Linked DNA regions of Tamandua tetradactyla. The protein of the gene in region 1 purifies or fractionates together with the protein of each later gene. This does not show direct contact. Links are inferred from orthologs where the notes say so. Each region holds a gene or a part of one and is shown on either strand. Other genes may lie near its edges.

Region 1 (8,018 bases):
ATTTGATCACATCCTCCCAGAATATACATACCTACTTAAAGTCTGTTAATAGTCATCCCATCACCTACACGGAGGCAGTAAACTGAAGGCAGTTCACACATACATTTTATTTCTCCCACACCTTTTGCTCATCAAGAAAACAAACCCATGGAGCCAGGCAAAGCTTTGAGATATATAGAATATCATTGAATGGTACTTGCCATGAGAGCCAAAGTTAGCTGAAGCAGTCAACTATAATCTTGGTGGGATTAAACAACTTTTTTTCTAGTAGAAAAGAACTAGGAATCAGAAGTCCAGGGCATGAACTGCAAAACCACTTCCTTTTCTAAGTTAGGTCTTAGGATGTTCCATTGGTGTTTTGAACAAGAATTATTCTACATCTGGCCCAGGAATCTTTCTATACATTGGATGGAAAACTTCACTGAAGTTTTCATGATCATTGATTCCTTAGGTGGGTGAGTATATTTTAACCCTCAAAGTTGCAACACTAAGTACAGCAATGATGAATTCATAAAAAGATACAATATGTTAAAGAATGAGTTTGATATTTAAATATCCATGGTTGAAAATTTGGCCTATTAGAGAAAAAGACCAACTTATAACTCCGATTTATAATGTGTAATTGAGTAATTGACATAGATTTTGTTTTAAATTGAAGCTAGGTTTATACATAGTATTGAAATACACAATAGAACCTAGCATATGCATGCACGCATATACACACACACACACAACACCCTGTCCTTTTTTAAGCTTTTAGACTTCGTACCTGGAATGGTTTGTCAGACAGAATGCTTAAAATAATTTTATAAACAATGTAAAAAAAAAAAAAATTGACTGTAGCAAACACATTTATAAATTGAATAAGATTTTAATATCAAACTAAAGAACTAGGCTTCTTAGTTTTAAACTTTAATGTTTTAATCAAATACCTTTAACAACTAAGCGCCTGAAATAGTGTTTTCTGTGCAAAGCCACCCTCAAGAGCATTAGGATGTCACACTGTCACAAAAATCCAGATTCAGATCCTTGTAAAATCAGAATACATGGCAAAATTGGACTGCATTGCTGCCTGAAATGATGGTCCCCTCCTTGAGATGGTACATGACCTTTCTAGTTCACCATAGTCCCCTTCACATGTCACATTTACATACTCAGACCTTATAAAGACACTTGAGATTTTGACCCATTCATCCAAAACAGTGATACTCAAACAGTGGTTATTGGCCCTACAAGGAGCCATTTGGCAATGTTTAGAGGTATTTTGGGGGTTCTCATAACTGGCATCTAGTGGGTAAAGGCCAGGGGTGCTGCTAAACATCTAAAATGCAAAAAACAGACTCCCTAAACTTATTAGCCTAAAATTTCAATAGTGCAGAAGTTGAGAAACTCTGATCTGAAAGAATACAACTAAACCCCTCAGCTTAGCACAAAGGCTTTGAGCAACCTATGACCTTTGTGCATCCTAGAAACTAATCCACTGACATTATATGGGTTATAAATATCTTCACTGTTTAGAGTTCTTTGTTGTACCTAAGTTCTTAAATTGATGTGCATGAGTTTCTCTATTCTTTAAAATTTGTTCTTTATTTCTTTCAAAAGATCCTTTCCTACCCTAGGGTTAAAAATGTTTTAATATGTTTTCTTCTAAATATTCTACAAGTATTTTACATTTATACCTTTAATCCATCTGTAATTTGTGTGATAAGAATCAGAGATAATTGTTTCCATACGGATAGTCCATAACAAGGCTTCAACATCTATCAAGTAGTTCATCTTTCTCTATTATTTGGCAACACCAACTGTCAGATACTGTTTCCAGGATCTTTATTTTAGGTTCTACTTTTATTGGAATCTTGCAATTTGATATGGTGACTCATTTCCTATCTTTGAGCATTAGGTTCTTTAGATTTTTCCATGAATGTAGAAGTTTATTGATTTCTCCATAAAGATAATGATAAATTTACTCCTGGGGTATGATGTCATTTTTTTTATTGAAGGTTTTGTTTGTTTGCTTGCTAACTGCTATTTCCATCAGCTTTTTCTGTTCGGATCTCATCTATAGTAAACTTGCTAAGTTGTCTTTTAATAGGTTTCTGTAGATTCTCGGATTTTTTACTTTGTCAATCCATCACCTGTAATGGTTTCTACATTTTGCAATACTTGCTCCAGTTTTCTTGTCTCAAGGTACTGACTGATTTCTAGTACAGTTCTGAAGAGTAGATGTCTTCATCCTCAGTTGGTTTTAGAAGGATTCACTTCTAATCCTTCACATTTAAATGATTTTTCCCCCTAGGATTTTTAGTCAAACACTTAGCTTTATGAATCTATTAGTGTAAGGAATTTTATTCTATGTGGCTTTCTAAATTTTTAAAAATCATGAATGGGTGGTACTGAGCCACTTTATGACAAAGCTGCTTTGTCCTTTACGGCCGCCCGATCTTCTTGAAGACTTTTTCGAACATTTGGAGATGCAGCTTGATAGCCTTCCTCCATCTTTGAACCTGCCTCCTCTTCACCCCTAGCTTTCAGGGAAATCCACTTGGCTTAAAACAGCTTTGAATGTAACGCTACTCAGTTTTCAGAGATTAACCAATTCACAAAAAGACCTTAAGGGTCTCAAAAACTATCTCTGTTTATTTAATAGATAGTTTGCAAGAGATAAAGTCAAAATCAGAAGCCTGCTATTAATTGAGATCAACAGAGTAGAGCCAGGGATAGATCTCCCTTAAGATTCTTTAAAAGTAGTGTCAACATATTCATTCTCATCAAGCCCCACCTAATTCCTTCCTCCACAAATCAGCTAGTCCTGCAAAAGTTAACACAAATGTATCCCAAAGTTTCTAAGAGGCTGACAGCTAGAAGGGGATTTGAGTGCATTCTCTCCAATGAAGGAAAGTAATTACGTCAAGGAAAAGACCTCTCAGTGTTACCAACTATTGAGGGTAACCAAGGAATCAGTAAAAATAATTTGTGGGTCTTATGAAAAGGAATTGACATTTCAGTGTTGCTTTCCAATCTTTTTGCTGTGAGAAAACATGCAGTGTTGAAAAGCTAAGCTTCACTTCTTTCTCTCTGCCACAATTACTGAGGACACTATATTTCATTCGTTTTCCCCTCACCTCTATCCTTTCTTTTCCACAACAGTTACAAGATAATTCTTCACAATGATTCCAGGTTAGGCTGAGTCAGACATGGGAAGGGGATGGCTAGGTTTTACAAGTTTTTCCCCCAAAATACATCATTTTTGGAGGATTTCTTGTCACCCCAAAAAAGCAACACTTGATTATATTTCACACTGCATACTATATAAGATCCTGGAAATGTCAGAACTTTTTAAGTAAGCAGGGTGCCCTGCATCAATGACGATCTTCTTGGGCATAACCAATTTACCCTACAAAGTCTGATACTTACGTATTAAAAAAAGCTACAGGTTGCTTGTTGATTAAGCAAGCACCCCAAATCATCTGAGCTTTGGAGTTTATTTTCCATCCTAACAAGCTATCTTGTACTCAGAAAGTTATGCAGATGTCTCTTCCCCAAACATACATACACCCACACACTCACAGAAGGTGGAGTGGAGACTTAAGGAAAAGGGGGGAAATCACTGTTTGTGAAGGTTATGAAAAGGAAATATTAATTTGACAATGGTGTGGAGCCAAACACAATTTTCCCACTTATCTTTATTGAAGACAACTGGTTAATGACTTATAGCAGGGAGGCAATGCTGTTTAATTAAAAAACATTTCTCAATGCCTTTCCCTTTTGGATTAGTCTACAATGATGTGTGTTTCCCCTTTTTGATGAGATTTGCTTTCTAATTTTACTGATACCTTTATAGCTACCAAAAATAAGTTAGTTCTAGACAGATATTAAAATGAGAACAGACTTTTGCCCATTTTTTAAACAAAAATACAAAGATACTACAGGCCCATCGCAAACTTCAGTTATGTCAAAAAATGTGATTTCTATATTCTTTAGTGGCATATATAAGAGATAAGAGAGCCTCAAAAATCACATTAAAGACAAAACATATATTTGAGCATTTGTCTTAATTTTTCTTCTCCCAGCTACCTCCCTCTTACGCAGTTGTTAGGAAAGCTGCTTGATTCACAGTCTTGAGAACCGTAGATCTGGGCCACAGCTGTGGTCAGTGATGTCCCCTTTTTGCATTTTCTAAGACAATAGCAGCAAAATACATTATTGAATAACACCTGGTCTTTAAGCACACTCAGGCGTTTGGAATTCCTTTCAAGCTAATTGTCTCCTTCATTTTGTTCGTTTTAACAGGGCTTCCCAGAACTTTATACTATGTGAGACGGGTTTGAAATACATTAAGGAGCAAGATAGGAGCTAAATGTTCTTTTTTGAAATGGAGCAAATCCTGCCTGAGGGGCCTCCTTTTTGCTTTTCAGTTTCTACTTCCCTACCTGTTCCCCAACCAATCCCTTTCCTAGCACTGAACAAGAGAAAGGAATTGGAATTCTTCACGCTTTATAATATAGTGTTAAATAAGTAAAGCACTACCAACGAGAGGGAGAAAAGATTAGGTTACAACAAACAAAAACTCCTTGTTGTAGTTTCTGAGGTAAAGTAAAATCCACGCTATTGACTATCTTTATAACTGAAAATTTTCAATTTTAAGAAGAAAAAACTAGGTTTCAGTGGATTAGCGTAGCCTTCACTACTGCATGTCTTCATTTCCCTTCAATGTTTTTAACTTAGCTACCAACAGATCCATACACCAACCCTGCAACCCCGTCCAGCGAGAGAAGCTAAGCAGATTGCTAGCATCCCCCTCCTTTGCTTTTAAGCGGCTGCTGGAGGCTGAGCAGGCTGAAGCCGGGAGCGGAAGCCACGCCTCCAAGAAGGGCGGGCCAGCCTCCCAGCCACATCCTCCGCAAGGTGAGGGGCGGGGTTCACGGTGACGTCATTCGGAGGCCCTCTGTGATTGGAGGGAATTTAGAAGGGAAACAGAGGGCCCAGGAAAGAGGCGGAGCCTAGTTTCCTTGGTGACGGGTTGCCCGGCGGGTCGCCTGGTAACGGGTCGCGGGTGTTTTGGTTGTGGCAGCGCAGGCGGTGGAGGCCCGGGAGGTCTGTGGGCTGGAGGCCCCGCCGGCGTCCTTCTGTCTGCTCTGCGATGGCTGCGGCCGCTGCAGTCGTCACACCGACAGGTTTGGAGGATACAGTGTCTCGGACCCGCAGCGAAGGGGCTGGAGAAATGGTCGTGGAGCGGGGGCCCGGCGCGGCCTACCACATGTTCGTAGTGATGGAGGACCTAGTGGAGAAGCTGAAGCTGCTCCACTATGAGGAGGAGCTCCTCCGGAAGAACAACCTGAAGCCCCCGTCCAGGTGGGTCCACTCGTCCCTGAGCGCCTGGGTCCTAGCTGATCCTGGGGGAGATGCCTTCCCGCGTCCTACTGGGGAACGCCGAGCACGGGTTAGAAAGCACTTTCCTCCATCTTCCTAGTCGGGGAAGGGCAGCTTACCCCAAACTCAGCGACACTGTTGTGGAGCCCACAGAGTTCAGACTTGGTATTTTTGTAGAGAGAGGAAACAAGTTTTGGAATGTCAGAGGGACTAGAAGACAGCTAGCCTATTCTCTAAAATGTACACTTGTCACAAAACACAGACTGTATTTTCTGATTATAAAAGTAATAAAAATACCCATTGTAGAAAGCTTAGAAAAACACAAAATTGTGCAGAAAAATACTAAAGTCATCCGTAATCTTATCCTCAGGAAGGAGCACTGTTATTTAGCTCTATTTCTAGTCTTTTAATTTCCTCTGCGAGGACCTTTCCATACAACTGGCAACTGCAGGTACCTCAGACTTGCTGAGTACTTTATATGTAAACTTGTTGACTAATTGCTATGGTTTAAAAGAACTTCTTCTGCCTTTGCAATAAAGGTACTCTCAGAAACTAAGAAGTGGGAAGCAGAAAGAAATGACAAAATATTGAAATTGTCTCCTGGTAGAACCTAAGGTTCTGCCCTTGTTCCTACTGGGGAAAAGTTTATCTTTCCTTGATGATAGTACCATTTCTTGCTTGAGAGTAATGGATAGCAGCACTTTCTCCTCCAATTAACATAGTCCAGCTATAGTCAAATGAGTTTTATAGGGACTACATTTGTTTATTTTGTATAAGAGGCAATTTAGATTAAGAAGACTGAGCATTTTCTTTTAAAGTTTGTAACTAGGTTAAAGTAATTTTCCTCGAAGTTTTAATTTCATTCCTCTGCTCTTTTCTAATAATTTAATAGCATACTATGTAGACTTATGTAAACTGTCCATATTGCTAAATCAATCCATAATGTCAGAAAAATTGGAGGAGGAAAAAGTAGTATTGCTTGATCCATGATAGAACCTGTTAGATGAGGAGTTAGCATGAATTGATCAGGATAATATAGACAACTTACATTTTCTATGTTAATAAAAATTCGTTACCTTTTTCCCAATATATTTTTCAAACTAAATGAAAATGACCTCAAGGTTCTGTTGATATCAAGCTCTGTACTCTTTCCTCAGGAGTTCAGCAAGATACTTTGAGTCATGAATACAAATGAAGATATGCTGGCTCAGTGGTTCTAAAAGTGTGGTCACCAGACCAGTAGCATCAGCATCACTTAGAAACTCACTGGAAATGCAATTTCTCAGGCCCATTCCCCAATCTACAGTATCAGAAATAGGTGTTAGCATTTTGTGTTTTTAAAAGCCTTTTTGGTGATTCTTATGTACTTCAAGATTTGAGAACCACTATCCTTCCTCTTTGTTGGTATATCAGTTTCTACTGTCCTGGAGGGGTAATCGGCTGAAAAGGAAAAGATGAGTTATTGGTAAGTGGGTGCTTTGAAAGGGTCCTGAGCCTATATCTGAAAGGGCTGCAGGGCCTTTCCTTCTTTCTCAGCTTTTTGTTATTTTCAAGAACATTTATTTATCCTGCAGGAGAAAGTTTGGGAAACATGAAGAAATAAACCATTAATTCTTATGACAAATGGTGAGAATAGCTATTAATACAACATAAACATAATAGTAATACCTTTAAGTGAAAAAAGCAGGATAAGATCTTTGTTCAGACTGACTTGAATGCTATTGCTTGCAAGTTTTATTCTTAACATGTTTAGGTATAAATCATACTGATCCTCATAAGAATTTTTTTAGTAGGCTAGATGATTTAACAAAAGTTAACAATATTTGTTAGAATGGAGATGTGTTACTCTGGTTTTTTAAATCCTCGGTATACCATAGAACCATCTTGGGAGCTTTTAAAATAGACTCATACTGGGCTCCATTCCCAGAAGTTCTGGATTCATGCAAAGATATTAATGGCATGTTAAAAAGTAAAAATTTATTGTGAGTGGTCATTAATGTGTTTTTAATAACTCTGAGTTTCCTGTTTCCAGATTACCATTTTCAGGAGGCACTCTCTTATTATTTCTAACAGCTTAAATGATTTTGGCAAAACTTCCACATACACTACATTTTCTAGATATAAGGTCTTTGAGGTAATATTTTATGTACAGTAGTAATTGCCCTAATCCTATTTGTTAAAAGTTTTAATGTGAGTGCTGTGGATTACTGGAAACTTTAAGGGGTGAAATATTAGTGTCTTTTGATTTTAAGGCCATTTGAAAAATGGAAAGGGTCCTTTGGCAGATTTGGACTGAGCGTCTTTAGGTACCACAGACTTGTTTGCATTATTTCATATGCTACTTCTCTCCCCAACCCCCTTGTTTTGAAACAGACACTATTTTGCCCTGCCTACCAACCCTGGTGAACAGTTCTACATGTTTTGCACTCTTGCTGCTTGGTTGATTAACAAAGCAGGACATCCCTTTGAGCAGCCTCAAGAATATGATGACCCTAATGCAACAATATCTAACATATTATCTGAGCTTCGATCATTTGTAAGTGTAAACAACTCTTTTCTTTCTGCACGTTCTCAAGTTATGAACTTTAATATTGGTGATTCCACAATATAAATGCTAGATGCTTCGATGAATTCTCTCTGAATATATG
Region 2 (7,063 bases), on another chromosome or scaffold:
AGGGGTATGGAACGTGGAGTCAGGCTCTAGCTCCACCATTTACTAGCTGTGTGGTCTTAGGTGAGTTACTTAATCTCCTTGGGCCTAATCTGCCACATCTGTTAAATGGAGAAAAAAGCACCTATCGCATAGCATCTCACTCATGAGAATTTAATGAGCTAACATGTACACTGCCTGGCCTATAATGAGTGCTATTTAAATGTTTATTAAGCAACTAAAATATAGATAAATGTCATTGTTATTTTCTCTCTTCGGCAGAGCCACAACATTAAACAGCTGTGCCAAGAGGCAATTCCCCAGCATCTGCCACATGGAGGGCATCTGGTTTGTCTTTGCCACATTATAACTTCTCATGACTATCTTAGCACTTCCATGACAGCAGGGCTGATTCATCCTTGTATTCTTATTGCACTCTGCATGCTGACTCACAGATAGTAGGTGCTCAATGAATATCTGTTGCATGGATCAACACTTGAATTGACTATCATGTCCCTTGTTATCTATATATGTGACAGAAAAAGATAAATTAACTCAGTTTTAACAGTGGACCTGCAAGGAGTGAAAGGAAAAGTAAAATCGGTGAGGGGAATACGTGTGTGTGTGCGCACAGAGAACAGGAATATGAACTCAGGAGGCAGAAGACGGTGGAGACTGACCCACCAGTCTTTTGGTCTCTGGAAATTTCCCAAGAGCGGATGCCTTTGAGACCTTGGAACAAGGATGCTGTGGACTGAGGGCCAGGCTGGAGTTCAGGGATGACCTACTCAAGCCATGGCTGAAATGAGATGACACAAATGTCAGAAGGAATGGGCTTCAAGAAAGGCCAAGGATGTAGGCTGCAGGCTTGAGGATGGTACAGCACAGCGCTAAGAACAAGCCCTGGAAATCAGATTGCTGGGTCTAGAGCCCAGCTCTGCCACTGATCAGCTGTGAGGTCCAGGGCGAGTGCCCTAACCACTCTTGGCCTCAGTCACCTCATCTGGAAAATCAGGCTAATGAAAGGACCGACGCTGTAGGGATGTGGATGCAGGATGGTCTGGGTTGAAGCATTTAGCACTGTGCTGGCACACAGGAAGTGTTCAGTAAGTTGGCCCCACGTTGGAGAGTTAAATTTAAAATAAAGAAAGAATGACTAAGAGATACAACAGTTTAAGAGAGAAGCCCATTAAAAAAAATCTAACCTGAGAAAATAAAATCTTTCCCACCCTACCTGTGAGGAAATGGGCTCAGAAGTGCTTCAACCAAGATGATATAGTCAATAAGAGGAACAGCTAGAATCAGTTTCATTACACAATACTGCCTCCCCTGGCGTTTAGGAAACATGAGAACCTCTCTTGAGAACCCTTAATTTCTTCTGCTCCAGTATGATTTGAGCTATTGTCAGTCATCTTTCTGTGTGACCCTTTTATTTCAAATTTCTGAGAGGTCATTAAAAATATTATCTATGTTCAATCTGGAAGAGGGACAATGCAAAAAAGGAATCTCTTCTTTCTCTGCAGAACTCCTGCTGCTTCTTTACTGAGCTGGTGGAAATCTGGCGAGCTCATGAGTTTCAAAAGTAGCCTAAGTTAAGAATTTTGGAGCGGGGTAGATTGAAATCCTGCCTCTGACCTTCACTAGCAGGTGACCTTGAGCAAGAGACTTCACCTCTGGGCACCTCTAAGATCTCAACACTAGCAGCACCTACCCCACTGTGTATGGTGACTGCTGAAACGAGACACGTGTGCCTGGCATGCAGCAAGGACTCAGGAAAATATGTATTTGTTTAGTAGCCACAAAGTCAAGGCAGCTGTTTCTGTAAGTGTGAAAATGGATACAAGGGGAGCCTGACAGATGGAAATGGCATGTATTTATTTTATAGATATTTATTGAGCATCTACTATGTTCCAGGCATGGTTCTGGGTGTTTGGATTTACTAGTCAACAAATCGTACAAAGATTTCTGCACTTGGGGGACTGAACACTTATTCTCTCTAGAGCGGGGCAGCACATCTTTGGGTCTTGAGGACAACATACAAGGGCCTTTTCCAAACTCTGGTCAACTCTACATTCCTCTCTCTTACCCCTGTTATTAGAGGGGTGGGGATCAGGGGAAAATCACTAAAATAAAGACTGCCAAAGTTATTGGTGCTGAACTTTGGAGTCCAAGAACTGACTTAGTTGAAGCACAAATAGGGATGATTTAGCTGATTGTTTAATGAGTCTACTTCTCCTGATACAGCTCAGGCTGGGGAGGGTGGTGGTCTCAGAATATGTCGAAGGTGGGGTGGGGGTGGAGGATCCAGCTGCCAAGTGCTTTGGAAGCTAATTTTTCCTACACCCAGGGGAACTGACTATCAGAAACTGCAAGGACTCGGGAAGAGGGCAAGCAATTTACGTGATCAAAAGCTCTCGATAAATTATGAAGCATCTGGACTCCGGAGACCACCGTATTCACCCCAAGTTTTCAAACTCACCTGCCAGGATGCATTTGGCTGCCAGCTTCACCATGGTAACCACCAACCACCACGGACCAGAGAAGGGAAGAGCGGCGGCTACAGGAGATGGTAGAGTGGGCTTCGGGGGCTCCGGGTCTGCCTGAGAAGGGGGATGGGGGAAGGGGGACGGGCTAGGACTCACTCCCAAGGAGTGACGACGGCGACCTGCGACAGCGGTGGGGAAGGGGACAGGTGGGGCGGCTAAGAAAAGCTTTAGGGTCCGGGGAAGCAAGAGAGCTCCAGATGGGGCTCGGCTCAGGCCTCAGAAAGCAGCCTGGAAAGATGAAAGCGTGGCGACACGGCTCCCCTCCCGGCCCAAGCCGTAGTCCCGAGGTCCAGGGACAAGCACCACACACCCCGCCCCAAGTCCCGCGTCTAACACGCTCACCAGGCGACCATCGCCCACGTACCCGCCTCCTCTTCCTCACTCACCCTCGATTGGCTGCCGCCGAAAGCTCCACCCCTGGAGGCGTCCCGCAGATCCAGTGGGGGGAGGTGGGCGGGGCGAGCATTCCTTCCTGGTGACACCATTCGTCATAGTGTCTGCTCTTCAAGCTCTTGCCGCTTGACGAATGGCTGCAGGAGATATCAATCATTTTCCTCTCCCGCCCCTACCTCTCCGGAAAGTCCCGGGAAAAGACGCTCCAACGCCTTGTAGCCCCGAGCCGTGATGAAAGAAGTTCTCTGATTGGCCGGAGGCTGGTCTGGACCATCTTCGGAGGAATGAGGCTCAGCTTCACCCCCTGCCCTTCTAGAAGTGGGTTCTCCCACGAAGGGGCCTTTCGGGTTCGCGGGACGCTGGAACGGCGCCTGCGCAGTGGGGAGGTTGCGGTGGTTAAAACCCTGCGCGCGAGTTTGCGCGCCACTGAATTCGCAGGTCTTTGTTGCTTTCCCAATTCCCATCCCAGGATTGGAGCTGTAAGGTGTTTTGAGAAATCCAGCCCTTACTTCGCATCCAGCAGCGACATCTCATTTTGTATACGCTTTGAAATCTAAAATACGAAAGCGTTTAAGGTGGTGCCAGTGAACAAATGGGAGAACGACTAAACTTTGGGCGGTTGAATGAAGCAACGCATGGATCTGGGGGTCTTACTTTCCTGGGACCCCATTTCCTCTCATGTAAAATGGAGATGTGTCTCATGCCACAGATTGTATGCAAGCTTGTGGTCAAGGACTTTGCCCAACACTCAGGAAGGATCCGTAAACAACAGTTAACTTTCCTGGGAGGTCCCTCTTGCTGTGCAGTCAGGAAACCCAGACTTAAATCACTGCCGTGGGCAGAAGTAAAACTACCTCATGGGTTGTTGTGAGAATTGAAAGTGAGAAAGAGTAGGGACAGTGTAGGTGTTCAATTAATGATTTATTGTCTTTTATTTTTACAAACAATTGTTGAGTGGATGAACGAGAAGGAATTTATCTAGGCAGACTTTGGGTTTATCATCATCGTCATAGGGTGGGCAGATGCACCCCCTGTTCTCACTTTTGCTGGGACCCCTGGGAACTTGCTCACTAAACAGAAGGAAAAGCGGCCGCTAGCATTTGGAACAGAATCCAGCACGGTGAGACACTCAATAAATGTTTTTGAATGAATGAATGAATTTGGTCGAGTTTACCCTTCTGGTCATCCATTCATTCAACTAGCAATTCTTGAGCTTTTGCTTTGTGGGGTACACGGGCTTATTGCTGGGCTTATAGCAAGGACCTTTCAGATGGGAGGAGCCTGATGCCTGGATCCTCCGCCCTCCCCCGCCCCGCCCCGCCCCGCGCTGGACCCACAGGCTTTGTGGAGGAGAAGGGGTTAATAGCTCTGCTCCCCTCAGTGCGCGGCTGTTTCGGCTGACCCAGAAGCAAGGACTTGGCTGGGAGGGGAGGAGAAGGGCAACTGTCAGTAGTTCCCAGGGACTCTTTAATCATCCCAGGCCGAGCGCCTCCTAACCGCTCTGACAAGCGGCTGCGATGAGCCGGGCTTGGCATTCCCTGCACAGTCCCGGGGCTGATTTTACCCTCTACGGGGTGCAAGCCTCTCTGCATCTTGCCATCGCAGTCGGAGGGTGTGTGTGTCTGTCTGCCTGTGCCCTACCACATGTAGGGCGTATTAGCAAGTTCCTTGGACACAAAATCTCTCTGAATAAAGAAGAGATTCTAGGGGAAATTAGTGGGGAAAAGACTTTTGAGAGTCATTCTGCATGAACCCTCGAGAAGAAAACCGTTGGTTCATTAAAGCAGACTTCCTGTAATGCCCTCATGTCAGAGGCTAATGCAAGAAAGAGAGGGGTAGTAGATTTGTAAGAATTTTATATATTTAGATCGGGGTTTCTCCAACTTCAGCACTCTTGACATTTGGGGCTGGGTAATTCTTCATAGTTGGGGGCTGACTTTTGCATTATAGGATGTTTAATGGCACTCTGGCTTCTACCCACCCGATGCCAGAATCCATCTCCCTACTTGTGATGACCAAAAATGTCTCCAGGCATTGACAACGGTCCCCTGGGGCTGCAAAATTGTCCATGGATGAGCACCTCTGGTTTAGATGTTATTAACTCAATGAATGAGGATTGTTGGTTTTAAAATTGAAATCTGCAAGGACTGGGGGCTCCGAGTGTCTGGGACTGAATCCCCACTTCGTCAGGTAACCTCTCCATGCCTCAGTTTCCTAACTGATCGTTTGGGTGCTGTGAGGATCACATGTTAAGGCGTGTAAAGGATCTAGAACAGCCCCTGACAAGTAGTGAGACTCCATAAATGCCAGCTGGTATTAACAGCCGTGGGCTGAGGACGAATCTTCGGAGGGCAATTTATAACGCTCTGGCGGCGCTCTGTTTTATAATGTCCTATAATGCACTGTGTTGCATGTGGTATGCTGCCTTCCCTGGGTGCAGGCTTGTCGTCATGACCTTTGCTGCTCGGCTTTTCTCTGTTCATGCGGGCCTGGCTGTTTATGCCTCTGCTGATGCAGTGCTTGGTGATGCTTATCTCGGTAAAGGACAGAGGAAACGCCACCGATTGGGTTCCCATGCGTCCGGAATGCAAAGCAGAGGCCTTGAACCATGGCCTCGGAACTGCACGCAGGCTGTGATGCACGGTCTCGGTCACCAGGGGGCAGCAGCAACCAGGGAAATAAAGCTGCAGGAAGCAGCCAAGGGCTGCGGGGTCTTTTTGATTTAGTTGGCTACTACCTTTATTTAAAGTTGAGCTAATGATCCTTCCAGAGCCAACCGAGACCTCCTTTACCAGCCCGGGATAGCTCATATGCGGGAGCCAAGAACTGCGTTTCCAGAATGATCCATGTTTAGCACCAAAAGGTTGGCATCCAGGCTGATAATTTCCCTGGGTATCTCTCTCCCTTTGATTCACAGCCCAGAACCTGCCACTCTGACCTCGGGTCCTGCTTGAGGTTTCACCCTGGGGGCTGCCAACGTTCCTCACTGTTCCCATCTATAACACTTGTAGAGCTGTGTTTCCAGGAGAGGACAAATAATTTGGAATGGCTCAGTCTGCACCCAGGGCCAATTCTGTTGGAGGTAAAGTTAAGCTGGGTACTGTTGCTTGCCTGTGCTTTCCCCCTTCTATGCCCTCTCCCCCCTCCCTACTCCTGGAGGCGTCCCACCCACTGCCCCCTGCTGTGCTGAGTGACAGATCAGCCCTCCCCAGCAGCCCTGTGTCTCCTGCTCAGACTCCATCTTAGCTTGCCACCTGCCCTTGCCTTGGTAACAGCTCAGAATCTCATTCTCTCATAATTCTTCTGAATCCAGTCTCCAGCCTGCCCCCCACCTCCCAACTAGCACACAGTGTCATCTTTTTAAAAATCCTAATTTTGAATGAATAATCTCTTTCCTAGGTTTAAAATTTAGCACGTAGAAAGGAATATGCATCTCTTCCCACCCCCGGCCCCATGCAGTTTCCGCCCCCAGGGACGCCCTCTCAGCGGGTGGTTATACACCCTTTCAGGGATATCTTAGGTACATTCCAGCAAACGCATTTATACTATATATTTTCTTATTCTTTCTCTCCTCCTTTCTCCCCACAGTTATCTTCCCAAACAGTCTTCTACACTTGGCTTTTTCCCTCTAACAAGGTACTTTGGAGAGGTTCCATGTCAGTTATGGAAAAAGCCCCTCATTCTCTTTTTAGGGTTATGTCTGGTTCAATTGTAGAACATGATCTTTCTAAATCTTGTCATATTTCCACTGAAAACCTCTCAAAGACTTAAGTGTCTCTGGGTTAATATCTGCCTTCCCCACAGGCGCTGTCCAGGTGGGTGAGTTCCCCCCATGCCCCCAGCTTCTTTGCACTTTCTGTGCCTGGGGCAGGATGGGTCTCTCTGGTTTTTAAATTTGACCTTTGCCCAAGAGCTCCTTTGTTAGAAGGGCCTTCCCCTTTTTACCAGATCCACTCATACTGTGCTTTTCTCAGCTTAGACACCTCTTGCACCGCATGCCCTGTACATTCCTTAACTGCAGTGAGTGGCATTTTTAGCTGAGGGCAGCGCTGCCTGGAGCCAGGTGTTCGAATCCAAACCCCGCCACTTCCTAACTGGGTGGCCTGGAGCTGCTTGCTACCCTTTCTGCCTCGGTTTCCTCCCAAGTG
Region 3 (7,788 bases), on another chromosome or scaffold:
GCCATGGCCACAAAAATACCTCGCTGCTCACTGGCAAGTAAACCCCATTTCTGAAAACTCCAAATTCAGCCATTTCAGCAAATAACTAGAAGCAGAGCCAGTTCACACTGCATAGGTCCTTCAGGCCCTCTGTCTAGGAGATGGCTAGCTGGATTTAAATAGCTTTGGACTCACTGGACATACCTCCACACTGGTTTCCAGGAACTGGACCTTTAGGTCCTTGAAGAAGGGGATGACTCCCAACCTCATCAACTCATCCCAACTCTGCTCCCTACCTGGAGGGCAGTCTGGCACATGTTTACCAGCCCCTGAATGAGGTAATATTTTGCTTCAGCCATCAGTTCCTTAATCTCTTGCCGGTTTTGAGGGAGGGTGATGGTATCATCTCGGAGGTAATTCAAAATGGCACCAAAGTGTTTTCCACATCGGTCTATGAGGATCCAGCCTAGGGATTGAAACCAGACCCCAGAGAATTACTGTTTGCTTCAAGGTGCCTCAGAAACAGGAGGCAGGTAAAGGACACCTGGGTGAGCCTGGTGGCAGGTGCTGAAAGGAGGTACACAGCATAGGCCCAAGGCACAGAGGTGACAAGTGGGGATGGAACGTCTAGCTCTCAGGCCCATGGATGCTCCTTAACCCTCCTCCCTGAAATGAAGAATTGGCACAAACCATGGGAGAGACAGGCCTTCCAGGCCCTGCTGTGGTCCACAGAGGTCTAAGCTCAGGAGAGCTTAGGCCAGCACCCTGCAACACAGAAACCACCAGGCTCTGCTTCCTTTATGTCCACTGCCTAGTCACTATGCAATGATTCTTATGAAATCAAGTCCTATGAGAAGTTCTCCCTGGAAAAATGCATAAACATGTAACATTTCATGTACAATTTTAAAGAATTGTGAAGCTCTACTAACAACTCCAGAAGTCCTATTCTAGGTGAATAGGAACAGTGAATCCAGATCTCAGATCTGCTAGGCTTAAGCCGTGCCTTGAAGTCACTTCCTCAGGAACTCCTCCCTCTCTCCCCACCCTACCCAGTAGGCCCCTTCTCACCTTCTTTGTCAGTCAGCACCTCCATGCGCCCGCTGAACATGGCCTTGAGCATGGTGTCATGGCGGGTGAGTGCCCGCACGGTGGTGTAGTACAGGGAGCCCCCCACATTGAGCTGGATGTACTTGTTACCCAGGCCTCCTCCCTTGAAGCTGCTTAGCTTGGGCTTGGCCCCTGAGGCTGGGCACAGGCAGGTATCTCCTGACATCTCCCGCTGCAGGTAGATTACCACACGGCAGGAGGTAGGCTTGGAAGGCTCCGCCGTGGTGGAAGGGGTCACAGGTGGGTGGCCAGTGGAGGCCAGAGCCTCATTCTCTCAGCACTGGGAGCAGGAGATGGAAGAGTAGAGAGAGGTGAGCACAATAGAACCCTTAAACCAGAGGGGCCAAAACCAACAGTAGAAACACTGGCTATCCAGGGGAGCCCTCTTGATAAGCCCAAGCACTCCGTGGCAGAGGCCAGGTCCTCAGACAACAATAAGAAAGACTTTCCTGCTGTTCTTTATTGTACAGGAACCAGCCTGGGAGCACAGTCTCCCAGAACCTAGCTCTGGTCACTTCACCAGGCCAAGAGTGAGCCAGCCCCGACAAAACTCGACTCAGCTCTGGGCAGTATGAAAGACGAGCAAGTCCCTGGAACTAGCTGGAGGCCCTGAAGAACAGACTGGACAGAGCAGAAGTCCTTACCTGGGGAATCGGCCAGTCAGAATCCCAGGATCCCAGACTTCCAGCCAAATCTATAGAGTATCCAGCCATCCTATGAGTTTCCCAGGAGCTAGAGGGACAGGATGCACTTCCTTTCTAACAGATTCCGGACACAGGAGCAGTGCTTGGTCTGAGCACCTCTGGGGCTTGGTTTCAAGAAGTAAAGTAAAAGCAGCTTCCTGAGAGAACTGAGTGAGCAACGTGGGAGGGAGCTGGCCACAGGGTTCTTAGCAGAGATTATCCTGGCTCCTGCTGGGGTTTCCTAACCTTCCCCTTTCTTGGCAACAATCTTGTCCCAAGTTCCTAAAAGTGTCACCATTTTTCAGGGTAGAACAACTACAGGATGGCTATTTTTGCTTCTTTTTCCTGAGAGGGGGTCCAACCCTATCTTTTCCTGTCTTCCCTCCCAACAAGAATGGGGAGAAAGGACCAGCAAAGACCCGATGATAAATCTAAAAACAACTAAGTGATTTGGAAATCGAAACACTAACAGGAATTCATAGAAAGAAGGAGTAAGGAAAGAAAAGGATGACCAAGGCAGGTCATCCCTCGTGATTTAGATTATATATGATATGGCTTTTGCTTTCCAAAGAATCACCAAAATTCATTCACTGAAAAAAATATAGCCAACATTCATTGCATGAGTATTATGTGCCAGGTACTATTCTAGGCATTTAATATATAATTGATTCGGCAAAAAAACTAAGTGTCTATTATGTGAAGTAGTACGGACAGTGAGATGAAAAGAGATTACACTTGCCTTCAAGGAGTTCAAAGAACTATCATAATGTTAAGAGTAAAAGTAATAAGAATTAGCTTTTGTCATGTGTCTGCTATTTGCCAGGCACTGGGGTTACAGAAGAAAACAAAGTAGGCATATCCTCATGGAGCTTACATTCTAGTGAGGAGAGACAGATGATAATTATGCCAACAATTTCAAAAAGTGATAAATGCAGTAAAAATAATAAAACAACAATAATGGAGTGATTAAGGGGAGTCACTAACTTAGATAGTGGGCCAGGGAAAGTCTCTTTGGGAAGGGAACTTTTAAACTGATATTTGAAAGCACATTCCAGAGAGACAGAAGAACAAATGCAAAGTTCCTGTGTTAGAAACAAGTTGGAGAAACAAAAATAAAGCCAAGGGTGGTACGACGGTAGCTCAATGGCAGAATTCTTGCCTGCCATGCCAGAGACCTGGGCTCGATTCCTGGTGCCTGCCCATGCAAAAAAAAAAAAAAGCCAAGATGCTGGTGCACAGAAAGAAATGGGGAGTTGTTTGATGTAAGGTCAGGAAGGCAGGGTCTGGATAGTATTAAAGAGTTTGGGTTTTATATTAATTTCAATGGGAATCCACTGGAGATTTAAGCAGGTGAGTGACATTCTCTGATTCATGTTTTGAAAAGATCACTCTGGCTGCTCTGAAGAGATTGGAGTGGAAGGGTGTTAAAGCAAGTGGGAAGATTTGCAGTGGTAATAATGGAGACAGAAAAAAGTGGAATCACCTCATTTAAATGTCATAACAAGTAGGAGTTTAGAATTGCTCATCATCTCTTAAAAGTGCACTGGAAAGCAGTGCACTGGTTTCCCCAAATGGTGCTTAGCACAATGCCGTGCATGTTTTAATTTGATACATGTCGACTGTTAAACTGAAACTATCCCTGAAAAGATTTAGGTAGGTCCCTGGGAAGAATGTCCAAGGAAGGGTCACAGTGGGTGCTGTGTGGAGTACTGAATTCCTTTGGCAGCTTGTTGGGGCGCCTCTTCCACCTGCCTGAGGAATGGGGCATGAATGAGACGAGCTCTCACTTGCAGAGACTGCCTAATCGATGAGTAACACTTGCATGGCAAGATCATCTTACTTCCCTCCGCCCACCCAAAATCTTTACAGGTTTTAATAAGTTCCCCATGTATTTTATGTCTAGCTCCAATTCTCCCAGAACTATCGAAAGCATACTACATTTTCTGTCACAGCAAAGGAACTCAAAGGCTTAGGCTTACCAACAGAGGAAGACAAAAGTCTCCTGAGCTAATCTACTCCCTTTTCTACAAAGCAATTCCTTTGAGCTCCGGATGACGTCAGTTCAGATTCCTCCCAGACCAATGAGCCCCAGGAATCCTCTGGCGGGTGACGCCCAGAAAGTGATTCCAGCGGGAATGAAATTTCCACTCATAGCCTCATTACTCTTCCTTCCGGACTTTGTGTGTGGATATTTGGGGAAGCTGGGGGCGTATCCGTGTTTCAGTGAAGTTTAAAAGGCAAACCCGTGCAGTTTAAAGGGTAAACACCACAGTGAATGGGGTGGGAGTTGAAGTCCTGAAAGAAGGACCCAGGTATCCGTCACACGTCGGGGATGGCTAGGGAAAGCGGATCTTGGCTGGAGAGGGTGGCTCTAGTAGAAATCCGGAGTGTGAATCTTAGGCTTCATATGAAGGGTCTGGGGAAATTTAGCAAGACCCAATTTCTCCTGCGGCCACTGTGGGGTCTTCCCCGGCCCTTAACCCTCCTAACTGCCGAGAAACTAAGACCCAAACTATCCCCCGCGGAGAACTCGAGCTCGCCGTCTACCCTACCCTGTCCCACTGGTGGAGCCAAGAGAACCAGGTGGGGCCCTTTTGCTCCAGCACCAGACCCTTCCATCCCTTTCCCCGGGACACAGGCAGGCCCAGCTCTCACCATCCACGAGGGCGCTTCTCTCAGTTTGGTTGCGAGCCGACTCCGTGCTGCACCTGGACTGCAGTCGCCCTCCCGCCTGCAATCCGGGGCAGTGAGCTCACATCCTCCGCTTGCGGACTCCGCCCGCAGCCGCGCCTCCGTTCTGCCGGCCGCGGCAACCGGGACTACAAGGACCGGCATTCTCAGCACCTTAACGGAGTGGAGGGAGGAGTCCCTTGGAGTATTCCGCAGTGAGACAGCAGCTACTTCCGGCGACCTTGCCGACGCAAAGCCCTCTGGATCTTGTAGGCTACCACCCCAGCCCTTAGGCTTCTGTTTCCCAGCAGGCTCTGTGGGGCGGGCGCACATAAGTGCTTCCGGCGTCCGGCCGTGACGTACTGGGTAAATAGGCTCTGTAGCCGTGGCAGCGGCGGACGCGGATGGGCCCCGCCCCGAGCCCGGGTGAACGGGGATCTCTGCGGCCGCCGGCCTCATCCTGGGCTGCAGCGCCCCGCCGCTCCTGAGCTGACAGGTAGGCCTTGACTCCGGTTTGGGAGAACAGGGCTTGGCTCAGTACTTCTGAGCCAGGTGTAGACTCGGGCAGAATCAGGGCGAGGTGAACCTGCCAGGGCCGTTCCCTGAGGAAATGCAGTCCCAGACCAGAAGAAATCTGAGAATCCCTCCCGTCTCTTTAGGACTGGAGCTTTACGCAAGGATGCTCGTTAGGACCTTGCGGGGAAACTATGATTCAGATGAGTTCAAGGAGTTTACTTAGTTCTTTTCCTAACTTTTTGCCTTGTACTCCCCGCCCATAGCCCATGAATGGAGCTGCTCATGGTGCCTAGCTTGACTCTGGGAGTGCCGCTGTGCAGTGTCACGGCCCTCATCGTTAGGAAGTTCCGTCCCGGCTCATGTGCGCGGTGTTTCTCAGATGCTCAGTACATGTATTTAGTGAGAGTTGAGAGAGAATCTGTGAACCCTTTAACCCTTTCTCTACGCCTTTTCTCCGGTCTTACCCGTCCCCTCCAACCATGCAGTTGGTTCAAGCAAGATCCCTGGAAATTATGCCCGGTATTCAATCAGTCCATTACCAGTCTCCCTCGATTCGACCTACAAAACATCTGAAATCGGAACACTTTTCTTTAGTTCCTATCGTTGGTTCCACAAGCATTTACTGAGTGCCAGTTATGTGCACACACCATGCCAGGTGCTAGGGTTACAGTGATGAACAAGGTAGGTGTGGCCACACCCTCTTTTCCCTTCCAGTCCAGTATCCATGCTGAGCCAGATGATCTTTCTAAAATGCAAATCTGATTATGTCGCTCTGCTGAGACTCCAGGGACTACCCAGTACTTGTATGATAAAATCCCAGCTCATTACTGGGGCTTTCAGAGCCCTCCATGATCCACCTCTATCCTTGCACGGCGTTGTCTTGTTCCACTCTCCCTCTCATTTACTGGCTGTTCTAGTTTGCTAGCTGCTGGAATGCAATATACCAGAAACGGAATGGCTTTTAAAAAGGGGAATTTAATGAGTTGCTAGTTAACAGTTCTAAGCCCGAGAAAATGTCCCAATTAAAACAAGTCTAAAGAAATGTCCAATCAAAGGCATCTAGGGAAAGATACCTTGGTTCAAGAAGGCTGATGAAGTTCAGGGTTTCTCTCTCAAGTGAGAAGGCACATGGTGAACACAGTCAGGGCTTCTCTCTCAGCTGGAAGGGCACATGGCGAACGCGGCTCATCTGTTAGCTTTCTCTCCTGGGTTCCTGTTTCATGAAGCTCCCCGGGAGGCGTCTTCCTTCTTCACCTCCAAAGGTCGCTGGCTGGTGGACTCACTCTCTGCTTTGTAGTGTTGCTCTCTCTGAACCTCTCTGAATCTCTCATTCTCCAAAATGTTTCCTCTTTTATAGGACTTCAGAAACTAATCAAGACCAACTCAAATGGGTGGAGACATGTCATCTCCTAATCCAGTTGAACAACCATTCTTAACTAAATCACATCAACCAGGGAGATGATCTCATTATAGTTTCAAATATACAGTATTGAATAGGGATTATTCTACCTTTAAGAAATGGGATTTATGTTAAAACATGACTTTTCTTAGGGGGCATACTTCCTTTCAAACCAGCACACTGGCCTTTCAGTTCTTGGAATGTGTCACATTTCTTCTAGCCTCGGGATCGCCACACATGCTGATCCTTCTACATGCAGTGCCTCCCTCCCTCCTGCACTTGAAAAATTTGGGGGCAACTTTTAGGTCTCAGCTTAAGTGTCACTTTTTCAGGTAGGCCTGTGTTGGCAATATTCACTTACCCATAGGAATATTGTCCTCCACCTACACCTTCATGTAGCACTGTGTGCTTTATTTATTTTAATTTTTATATTGAAGTTGTGGGTTTACAGAACAATCATGCTTAAAATGCAGGATATCTGTATACCACCCTGTTATTAACACCTTACATTGGTGTGATACATTTGTTACAGTTGATGAGAGCACATTTTTTATAATTGTACTATTAATTATTTAAAAAACCATCATTTAACCTAGAGTCCACTATTTGTATCGTACAGTTCATGGATTTTTTTTTTTTTTAATTCTTGTAGCACTGTTTGCTTTTTCTCATGCTATTATCAAAGTCAGAAACTGTTCTAGTTTGCTAGCTGCCGGAATGCAACACACCAGAGACGGATTTGCTTTTAATAAAAGGGGATTTATTTTGTTAGTTCTTCAGAGGAAAGGCAGCTAACTTTCCACGGAGGTTCTTTCTTACGTGGAAGGCACAGGATGGTCTCTGCCTGGCTTCTCTCCAGGTCCCTGGGTTCCAACAGCTTTCCCCGGGGTGACTTCTTTCTGCATCTCCAAAGGCCTGGGCTGAGCTGCAAGTGCTGAGATGAGGAATGCCGAGCTGCTTAGCTGTGCTATGTTGCAATCTCTCATTTAAGCACCAGCCAATTAAGTCAAACGTCACTCATTGCTGCTGACACGCCTCCTAGCGGACTGCAGGTGTAATTAGCAACAGATGAGGTTCACGTACCATTGGCTTATGTCCACAGCAGCAAGACTAGGTATGCTCACCTTACCAAATTGACAACTGAATCTAACTAACACATGTCCACCCCTTGTCAACTTGGCAACTTCAAGCATCACCTTAAACAGGTGCAAAAACTTCTCTTCTTGCTGTGGGCCCGTGAATCTCAAAACAAGGTATCTGATGCCAATATGCAAAGGAGGATAAACACTGGATCCATAGGGAGAAACTGGAAGGAAAACCTGCAGGCAAACACCATTGGATTTCAAAGTCTGAAATTCATTTATCCTTCGGCTGTAGAAAGTGGTAGTCCCACCCCTTCCAAGGGCCTATGCAGTGGCCGGCCTCTTTCCAAAT
Region 4 (7,607 bases), on another chromosome or scaffold:
ACCTGGGTTTTGTGCGAGCAGGTGAGTGAAGAGGGGCCGGGGGTTGAGGGTCAGCCACGGCTGGTCTGCGGGTGGAGGCGGTTAACCTGTTCACACGCCGGCACCCACAGACCGGCCTCCATCTCCTGTGAACGTGACGGTCACTCACCTCAGAGCCAACTCGGCCACTGTGTCCTGGGACGTCCCAGAAGGCAACATCGTCATTGGCTACTCCATTTCCCAGCAAGTATGAATCAGCCCGCTGCTCCCCCCACAATCTGTGTCCTTGAATCTCTGAGCCTTCCTTCCGTTGCCCGCCCCCAGCCCCCCAGCCTCCCCTTTCCCCAGCGGTGGGGAAATCTGAGAGTTGGTGTTTCCTAGCTGAAGCTGCTCTGTTGGGGGTGTCTGGCTGTTCGGGAGTCCCGGTTCTAGCCTTGAGGCCCGGGACCCGCACGAGGCTCTTCTCCCTCCCGTCTGCTCCCCGCAGCGGCAGAACGGCCCCGGGCAGCGCGTGATCCGGGAGGTGAACACCACCACTCGGGCCTGTGCCCTCTGGGGCTTGGCTGAGGACAGCGACTACACCGTGCAAGTCAGGAGCATTGGCCTGCGGGGAGAGAGCCCCCCGGGACCCCGGGTGCACTTCCGAACTCTCAAGGGCTCTGACCGGCTGCCCTCCAACAGCTCGAGCCCAGGTAAGGATCCCATCCACTCCCTAGGTCCCCCCTGAAACTCGGGATCCTCTGGCTTTTTACCTTGGCCTTTAGCCTCTTGTTTATTTCCCCCAAGGCAAGCACCGGTCTAGCTTAGATGAATAGAGGGATGATTTGATTCATTGTGCTGCCAGGAAAGGAAGGAAAAGCAGGTGGGCAGAAGAATGGTTCTAGACAGCTTGGGAATTAATCCTTTGGGGGAAGGGCTTTCGAGCTTCCTTTTCCCCAGCCTCAGTTCACAGCAGCTGCAGCCTGCATAAGTGAGTGCCTGACCTCTGGCCCTCCAGCTTCTCAGTCTCTAATTCCCTGTCCACTGACCGTTTCCTCCCCGAGATGCAAACTGGGATGGGTTTACCCTGACTCTAATCCCCAGCATCTCCATCCTTAACCCTGTGCCTAGGCCTAATTCTCCAGCTGACTCCCAGAAGCCCAGAGTCTGTCTCTTCCCTTCTCAGGTGACATCACTGTGGAGGGTCTGGATGGAGAGCGACCGCTGCAGACAGGGGAAGCCGCCATCGTCGTGGTGGTGCTGCTTATGTGGGCTGGTGAGTAAGCAGCTGGCTGGGGAACCAGGGGCTGAGTGGGGCTCCCGGCAGGTGGGAGGTCCCTGGGAGAAAGGGTGTGAAGGAAACGGAGTTGAGGGGGATGATGGGGGAGTTGGCAGAGAGGGAGAAGAGGCCATTGGGATCCCAGGGAGAAGACGGAGAGGGCAGACCCCACACAGGCACTGGGAGTTCAAGGGTTTTCTTCTCGGGTTTTCTAGAAGCCATTTGGGTATCCCGCTGCCCTTCAAGGCAGTGATGGGGGAGGTCAGGATCGAGGCTCAGATTGGTGTGGTTGCTGTTTCAGCTGTAATTGGGCTATTCTGCCGTCAGTACGACATCATCAAGGACAACGACTCCAACAACAATCCCAAGGAGAAGGGGAAGGGGCCAGAACCAAGTCCTCAGGGAAGGCCAGGAGGGACAAGACAGGTGATGTGGGACCAGTGAGGGTGGGAAGGGAAACCAGGCAAAGAGAGAAGACCAAAGGGGGGCAGGAAAAGAGGGAGCGTGGAAGGTATGGGTTGGAGGAGGCTGGAGAAAAGGTGTGGCGCCTATTACCTTCCTGAAATTAGAGTCAAACCCATTTTCCTTTCTCAGAAAAAGTCACCGTCCATCAACACCATCGATGTCTGAGTGACAGAAACAAACCAAGAGAGAGATGCGCGAACAACTGGGCATGGGGGTGGGGTCAGGGTGAGCATAAGGCAGTGATCGGTCCAAGGCTGAAGGATCCCACAATCTCCCAGAGGGGGATGGCGCTCCCGCAATCTCAGGCCTGACCCCCATCCTCTTTCCACTGTGAGCAGGGCCAGAAGGTAGGTCTGCCAGCGTCTGTTCCCCTGGACCTGGGGAGTGGATATCCGAAAGGATGCCTCTTCTCAGCCACCAGGTCCAGGCGAGAGTCACTTGTTCAACCCTACCCCGTTAGGTCCCAAATAAGGGGCCCCATTCCACCTGCATCAGGACTCTCAGCATCCCCAGCTGCCCCTATATCTTGCCTCAGAGAGGGGTGTTTCTGTGGGCACTTCCTCTCCCCCAGCAAATGAAAAGAATCATCTGGGGCTGGAGGCAGATGCTGCACTGCACTACTCCAATGTCTTCCATGGAGCCTCAGGTGCTCCCCCTCTCACCTGGCAGTCCCTCCAGCTGCTGGTGATCTCACCCCCTTGGACATTTTTCCAATAAAGGTTCTTGGACAAACCGGAGCTGACTTTATGCTATACTGTAGAATACGCTGAAGACATTTCCCCACTTCACCCCTCTCCTGCCTGGTCAAGGACCCCTCATGCCACCAACAACTTGACAGGGACAGACTCTCATTGTAAGGGGTTTGCTTTGATTCTCCAGGCTTGAAGGGGTAGGCGGAGAGGGGTCAAGGAGAAGGAATGCAGGAACTAGAGCCCCACTTCCTTTCACTTGTTGGATGAGAAGGGGGAAAAGGGCACAAGAGGGATATAATTTCTTTCTGCACAGTGGAAGATTAAGGTTATGCCCCATGACAGAGCCATTAGCCTTTTTACCTTGGCTGCCTACATCAGCAACCCAGCGCCTCACCATTTACTCTTCTGCCGCTTCCATTGACCGTGGGATAATGGTCAGAATGGACTGAACAGCGTCTCAGGGATTAACAAAAGAGCAGCTGCACTGAAGGAACTCTTAGTGCCACAGGCTCCTCTCCTGTGGGTCCCCATGCCTATTCTCTGCTTTTCCCTTCTCTTTCATCTGTCTGTCTCTGTCCAGTTGGTCACATTAATAATTGTGAACTGTAAATGAATCTATATTCAGGCTTTGTAACCATGTCCAGAGGAGGATTCTTGGGAATAAAACTGAGGGATTAAAATTCCCCTGTCAAAAGAATTATACTTTGGACTCTGCCCCACTAGGGTCTACTTGCTTCTTATAAAAATAGGAGCTGTCCTCTACCCTCTCCTAATTCCCAAGGCAGGGGTGGTGACAGCCAGGAAAAAATATCTGCTGACATCTGAAACCACTGTGTGTGTATGTAAGCTTCAGGACCTAAAATCAGGCAGATTTTGAGTAAATTTGCTGTGGTAAATGACAGTATTTAGGATACTTTCTAGGGGTTAAGGGCTTTCCTAGGGATCATTCCACAGGAGGCTTTATGAATAACCCTCCTTTTCTGTGTCTCTCTCTCAATTAGGTTACATAAAATTTGACCAGTAATTCTGAAAGGGATCCTAGCTATACAATCCAAAAATCAAGTAAATATATCTCTTACTTAACCAAGCCCCAATCCCAGGTATCCCAAGACTTAACCTTCACCTATAGGGTAAGCCAAGCTCTCTCTGGTCTGCCCTGTGTTCTGAGTCATATGGGCAATCTCTATCCTCTATCCCATCTTATCGATAGCTCTTTCCAATATGAAAAAATTACAATGGGCATAGCCCACATACCCCTAAAGATTGGGAGAAAGATCAAAGGAGAAGGAGTTATAACATAGTAGATAGGATTTAACAAATGGGAATGACTGCTGAATCATTACACTGATATTTCTTTTAGTCTCCAGTGTCTTGGAGCAGCTAGAAGGAAAAACCTAAAATTGTGGAACTGTAACCCATATCAAACTCTGAAGTCTGTTCTATAACTGATTGTTGCGGTGTGCTTTGAAATCTATTGCTTTTTTGTAAATATGTTATTTTTCACAACAAAAATAAATTAAAAAAAAAGGCAATCTCTAGCCCACTGTCTCCCAATTTGGAAGTAGGACATCTTACCTCTCCCTGGCCACTGATTCCAAAATACTCATCTCTCAACTCTGGACACATTATTTCTTTGGATGAGAGTGTCACAGTGTATATAGCAGGCCGGCAGGAAGGCAGGAGTTGAGAAGGAATATAAAGGGTGTTTAACTTCCATCAGTTCTGGGGTCAATACCAGATCTGTTGGCTTGGGCAAGTAAACCCCTCTAATCCTGAGTTTCCTAATAATATTAGCTCCTTCCAAAGGTGGTTTTGAGCCTAAATGAGATAATGTAGGTAAAGCACTTCGCACAGTACCTGGCAGACACTAGGTATTCACTGTCAGCCTTGTGATCTCGTGCAGGTCACATATAACCTATGTGAACCTAACCTAAATGAACCTAAGTTCATTTCCGGCATAAATCAAATGCCTATAATAGCTACGGTCCTGCTTTCCGCAGGGTCGAAAGGCTTAAAAGAGAATGCACTCGGCCACGCTCAGCGATCGTACATCAAACACAAGCCACCTACCTAGGACCCAGAGTTTGGAGGGGCTTGTGGGCGTGGCTTGAGCGTAGGGTTGCAAGCAGTGACGGGATTGGTCGACGAAAGGCGGCTTCCCGAGGTCCCGCCGTAGGTCTCACTGCGCTTGCGCACGTCCTGTGTGCTTCGCGAAGAGTTTACGTGATGACCTTGTAGCGTTTGCCGTGCCCTGGTCGCCGGTGCGTCAGAGGCCGTCGCTGCGGCTGCGTGGCGGGTTGTCCAGGTAACCACGGGAGTTGTCTGGCTGGTGGCATCTGCGAGACAGGTGTTCGTCATGCAGTTGAAGCACCTGAGGACCCTGCTGAGCCCTCAGGTGAGGAGTTGCGTGCCTCTACCTCCCCCGCCCGCCTTCCGTTCAGAGAAAAGTCGGGGAACTGAAGTTTAACAGTGGCGAGCGTCCATTGTGTGCGCAAGTCTGTACAGGCTGTAAGGATGCTTCGGACGCTGCGCCGTCCACACAAAATGTGCAGTAGGTGAGATGGACAGCCGACAACTGCAGCTTTCCTTACGTTTCGTTTAACATCAGTTGTGTACCAAGCCCCGGGCTGGGCAGTAAGGGACCCTAAAACTACCTAAGTTCTTATCCCCGCCTTAAAGAGACTTGTGATAGAGGGCGAGGCGCTCATGTTAGCAACGAACATAAATCTGTACAGACTTATCTAAGAGATACAAACCTCTCAATAGGGAGTGCGGAAGACTGAACCGTTCATTCGAGTGGCGAAGACCCTAGGATGTGAAAGAGGCTACTAGAGGAGGAACCCTGAGTCATGGTGACAAAAGACAGTCAGGTTAGGAGACCTGAGTTCAAGTCGCTAGCTCCACCACTGCTTTAAACAAATTTCCTGTTTTTTCTGACTTTGGCTCTTATAGGTAATTTCTCTCAGAACTCATCTAGCTTCTTTATTTGGAAAATGGGAACAATAATAGCAACTGCAGGTGACTCAGGGGAGAGTTAAATGAAGTGATAGGCACAAAAGAACTTTGTAAACGGAAAAGCAGTCTGAAAACTGATAGACAAGAGAGAAGAATATTCACAATCGAAAGGACAAAATAATACAAAGCTAAAAGAGTAGTATATGCTGTAACTGAGTGCTTATTATGTCCCAGGGAAGCTTAAGTACAGGCGTTAGGGTAGCAGTCTATGCAGTCAGATATACATGGATTTCAATCTCGGCTCTGCCACTTATAAACTTTGTAACCTTGGACAAATTATTTAACTTTTCTATGCCTCAGTTTCCCCAACTGTAAAAGGGGGGATAATGATAGCATTCACCACAGAGATAGGAGGCTAAATGAGCTAATGCCTGTCAAACATTTTGCAAATGTGTAGTCTATGGGCACTGCTTGTAAAAAGTTAGCTATTATTATTTGATTTCCGATCTCATTTAATCCTCCCAACAGTCCTGTGAGGTATGTCTTGTAGAGAAAGGAGAATTGATTGTGAAGATCAGGAAGGCTTCACAGAGGCTGTGGAAAGTTGAAGGAAATTTAAGAGAGCTGTACTTGTGGCTCAGTAAACCGCACCCTGAATTTGTAATTTAAGAGTCCTTTCCCCTAATAGAATAATTGGAAATGAAATGCCCCTTCAATCTCTTGAGATAAGATGATGTCATGATGCAGGAAAGGGCCAAATGCGCAGGATTGGGCAAAGTGATGAAGCAGGATGATCAGCAGCGGTGTGGAGGGGCCCTCAGTCATTTTCATCTGATGTCATCAATAGTTGGAGAATGTTAGTGGTGGTGGTATGGCTATTTTCGGCTCTTGTTTGAGATTTTTTACTTCTGACTGTGGAGGTAGGTGAGTTAGGAGTGAAGGGAAAAGTAACAGTGTTTAAGCCAGAGTTCTAGAGCCCAACTAATTAGTCAAGCAATTGGAGTAGAAGCTAAAAGTTGTTTTGTTTGTTTGTTTGTTTTATTTCAAGGAGGGCAACCTTTAGTGGCAGAATCATAAAAAATCATGGCTGATGATGGGAAAGGATGGAAAATTAGTGGTCATTTCCAACTTGGGCTTCAGTAAAGTGGTTACTGGGGGGAGAGGGGATGACATTGTTCATCGTAAGTTTCACCTCTGTTTTGCTCCCCATTCCAGAACTTTCACTGTTTCCCCCTTTCCTACCAAAGAAGCCTAAACTGTGTGGCCTGGCTTCAAAGACCCTTCCTGAGCTAGCCTGTTTTTTCCCCTCCCTGCCTTTCCTCCCCTATTCTATTGTGTACAAAGTGAGTTCAGCTCAACTAAATTACTGATTCTTGACCAAACTTGCCTTTGCTCATGCTATTCCTTCCACCTCAAATAATTTCTCCCACTCAATTGTGTCCATTTGTCCAACTTTAATTTTGATCATTTAAATATAAAATTATCTCATCCTTTTCCAAACTATTGTATGATTTTTAGGTACCTCTCTTATGGAACTTTTCCAGTTTTTTACCGTATGATTAGATCCTAAACCCTTCAAGGGTAGGAACCACATTCTGTTCCTCATTACCCTCTCAGCCCCTGGCCAAATGCCTTTCTTGGTAAGGTGCTCAAAGAATATTCATTGAATGATTGGCTAAAGATTAGAACTTATCAGGCCAATTGGGTTTATCTTAGTAGCAGAGTTGGGGTATGAGAGACAAGATGGCCATTGCAGGAACACACTTGTATGATTGATTTAGCATGTCACCCCTTAGTATAATGGTGTTATGGGTCTCTGGAAGCACATTGTTCTCTCAGTTCAGGGTCTGATGGTTACGGAAAGCACTTTGACAGGAAGAAAACTGACTGAAGTCATACCAGAAGCAACAGAATTAGACATGTTTCTGGCATTCTAAACCAGCAGCTGGGTTTATTTTACTCCCTTTGTCTCTCAGGATGGGGCCGCAAAGGTGACCTGCATGGCCTGGTCCCAGAACAATGCCAAATTTGCTGTTTGCACAGTGGACCGAGTGGTGTTGCTATATGATGAACATGGGGAGCGGAGAGATAAATTCTCCACCAAGCCAGCTGACATGAAGGTGAAGAGTGTTCTCATGTATATCTTTTTTCCTCCTTTATTTTAGAGATTATGGGTTTATAGAACAATCATGTATAAAATACAGGATTCCCATATACCACCCTGTTATTAACACCTTGCATTGGTATGTGACATTTAC

Evidence for each region.
Region 2: the proteins of IFT57 (region 1) and IFT27 purify together in Homo sapiens (co-immunoprecipitation; 3 studies listed by BioGRID and IntAct, with this or other methods). This does not show direct contact. The link is inferred for Tamandua tetradactyla from reciprocal best matches to the Homo sapiens genes IFT57 and IFT27.
Region 3: the proteins of IFT57 (region 1) and IFT20 purify together in Homo sapiens (affinity purification with mass spectrometry; 3 studies listed by BioGRID and IntAct, counting the BioPlex papers as one, with this or other methods). This does not show direct contact. The link is inferred for Tamandua tetradactyla from reciprocal best matches to the Homo sapiens genes IFT57 and IFT20.
Region 4: the proteins of IFT57 (region 1) and IFT172 purify together in Homo sapiens (affinity purification with mass spectrometry; 3 studies listed by BioGRID and IntAct, counting the BioPlex papers as one, with this or other methods). This does not show direct contact. The link is inferred for Tamandua tetradactyla from reciprocal best matches to the Homo sapiens genes IFT57 and IFT172.

Annotation. Positions count from the first base shown.
Region 1 is NC_135336.1:38,855,311-38,863,328, forward strand, and holds the start of IFT57 (intraflagellar transport protein 57 homolog), read left to right. Parts: upstream 1-5,016; 5' UTR 5,017-5,140; coding exon 5,141-5,352; intron 5,353-7,743; coding exon 7,744-7,906; intron 7,907-8,018. UniProt on the Homo sapiens protein: Required for the formation of cilia. Plays an indirect role in sonic hedgehog signaling, cilia being required for all activity of the hedgehog pathway.
Region 2 is NC_135333.1:29,076,435-29,083,497, forward strand, and holds the start of IFT27 (intraflagellar transport protein 27 homolog), read right to left. Parts: upstream 3,005-7,063; 5' UTR 2,909-3,004; exon of another isoform or gene 2,865-2,908; intron 2,577-2,864; 5' UTR 2,490-2,576; coding exon 2,456-2,489; intron 1-2,455. UniProt on the Homo sapiens protein: Small GTPase-like component of the intraflagellar transport (IFT) complex B that promotes the exit of the BBSome complex from cilia via its interaction with ARL6. Not involved in entry of the BBSome complex into cilium. Prevents aggregation of GTP-free ARL6.
Region 3 is NC_135332.1:51,606,065-51,613,852, reverse strand, and holds the start of IFT20 (intraflagellar transport protein 20 homolog), read left to right. Parts: upstream 1-4,780; 5' UTR 4,781-4,935; intron 4,936-7,788. Other genes in the region: TNFAIP1 (BTB/POZ domain-containing adapter for CUL3-mediated RhoA degradation protein 2), read right to left, coding at 276-445, 1,048-1,252. UniProt on the Homo sapiens protein: Part of intraflagellar transport (IFT) particles involved in ciliary process assembly. May play a role in the trafficking of ciliary membrane proteins from the Golgi complex to the cilium.
Region 4 is NC_135329.1:11,404,752-11,412,358, reverse strand, and holds the start of IFT172 (intraflagellar transport protein 172 homolog), read left to right. Parts: upstream 1-4,606; 5' UTR 4,607-4,750; coding exon 4,751-4,789; intron 4,790-4,813; exon of another isoform or gene 4,814-4,949; intron 4,950-5,160; exon of another isoform or gene 5,161-5,243; coding exon of another isoform or gene 5,244-5,264; intron 5,265-7,325; coding exon 7,326-7,469; intron 7,470-7,607. UniProt on the Homo sapiens protein: Required for the maintenance and formation of cilia. Plays an indirect role in hedgehog (Hh) signaling, cilia being required for all activity of the hedgehog pathway.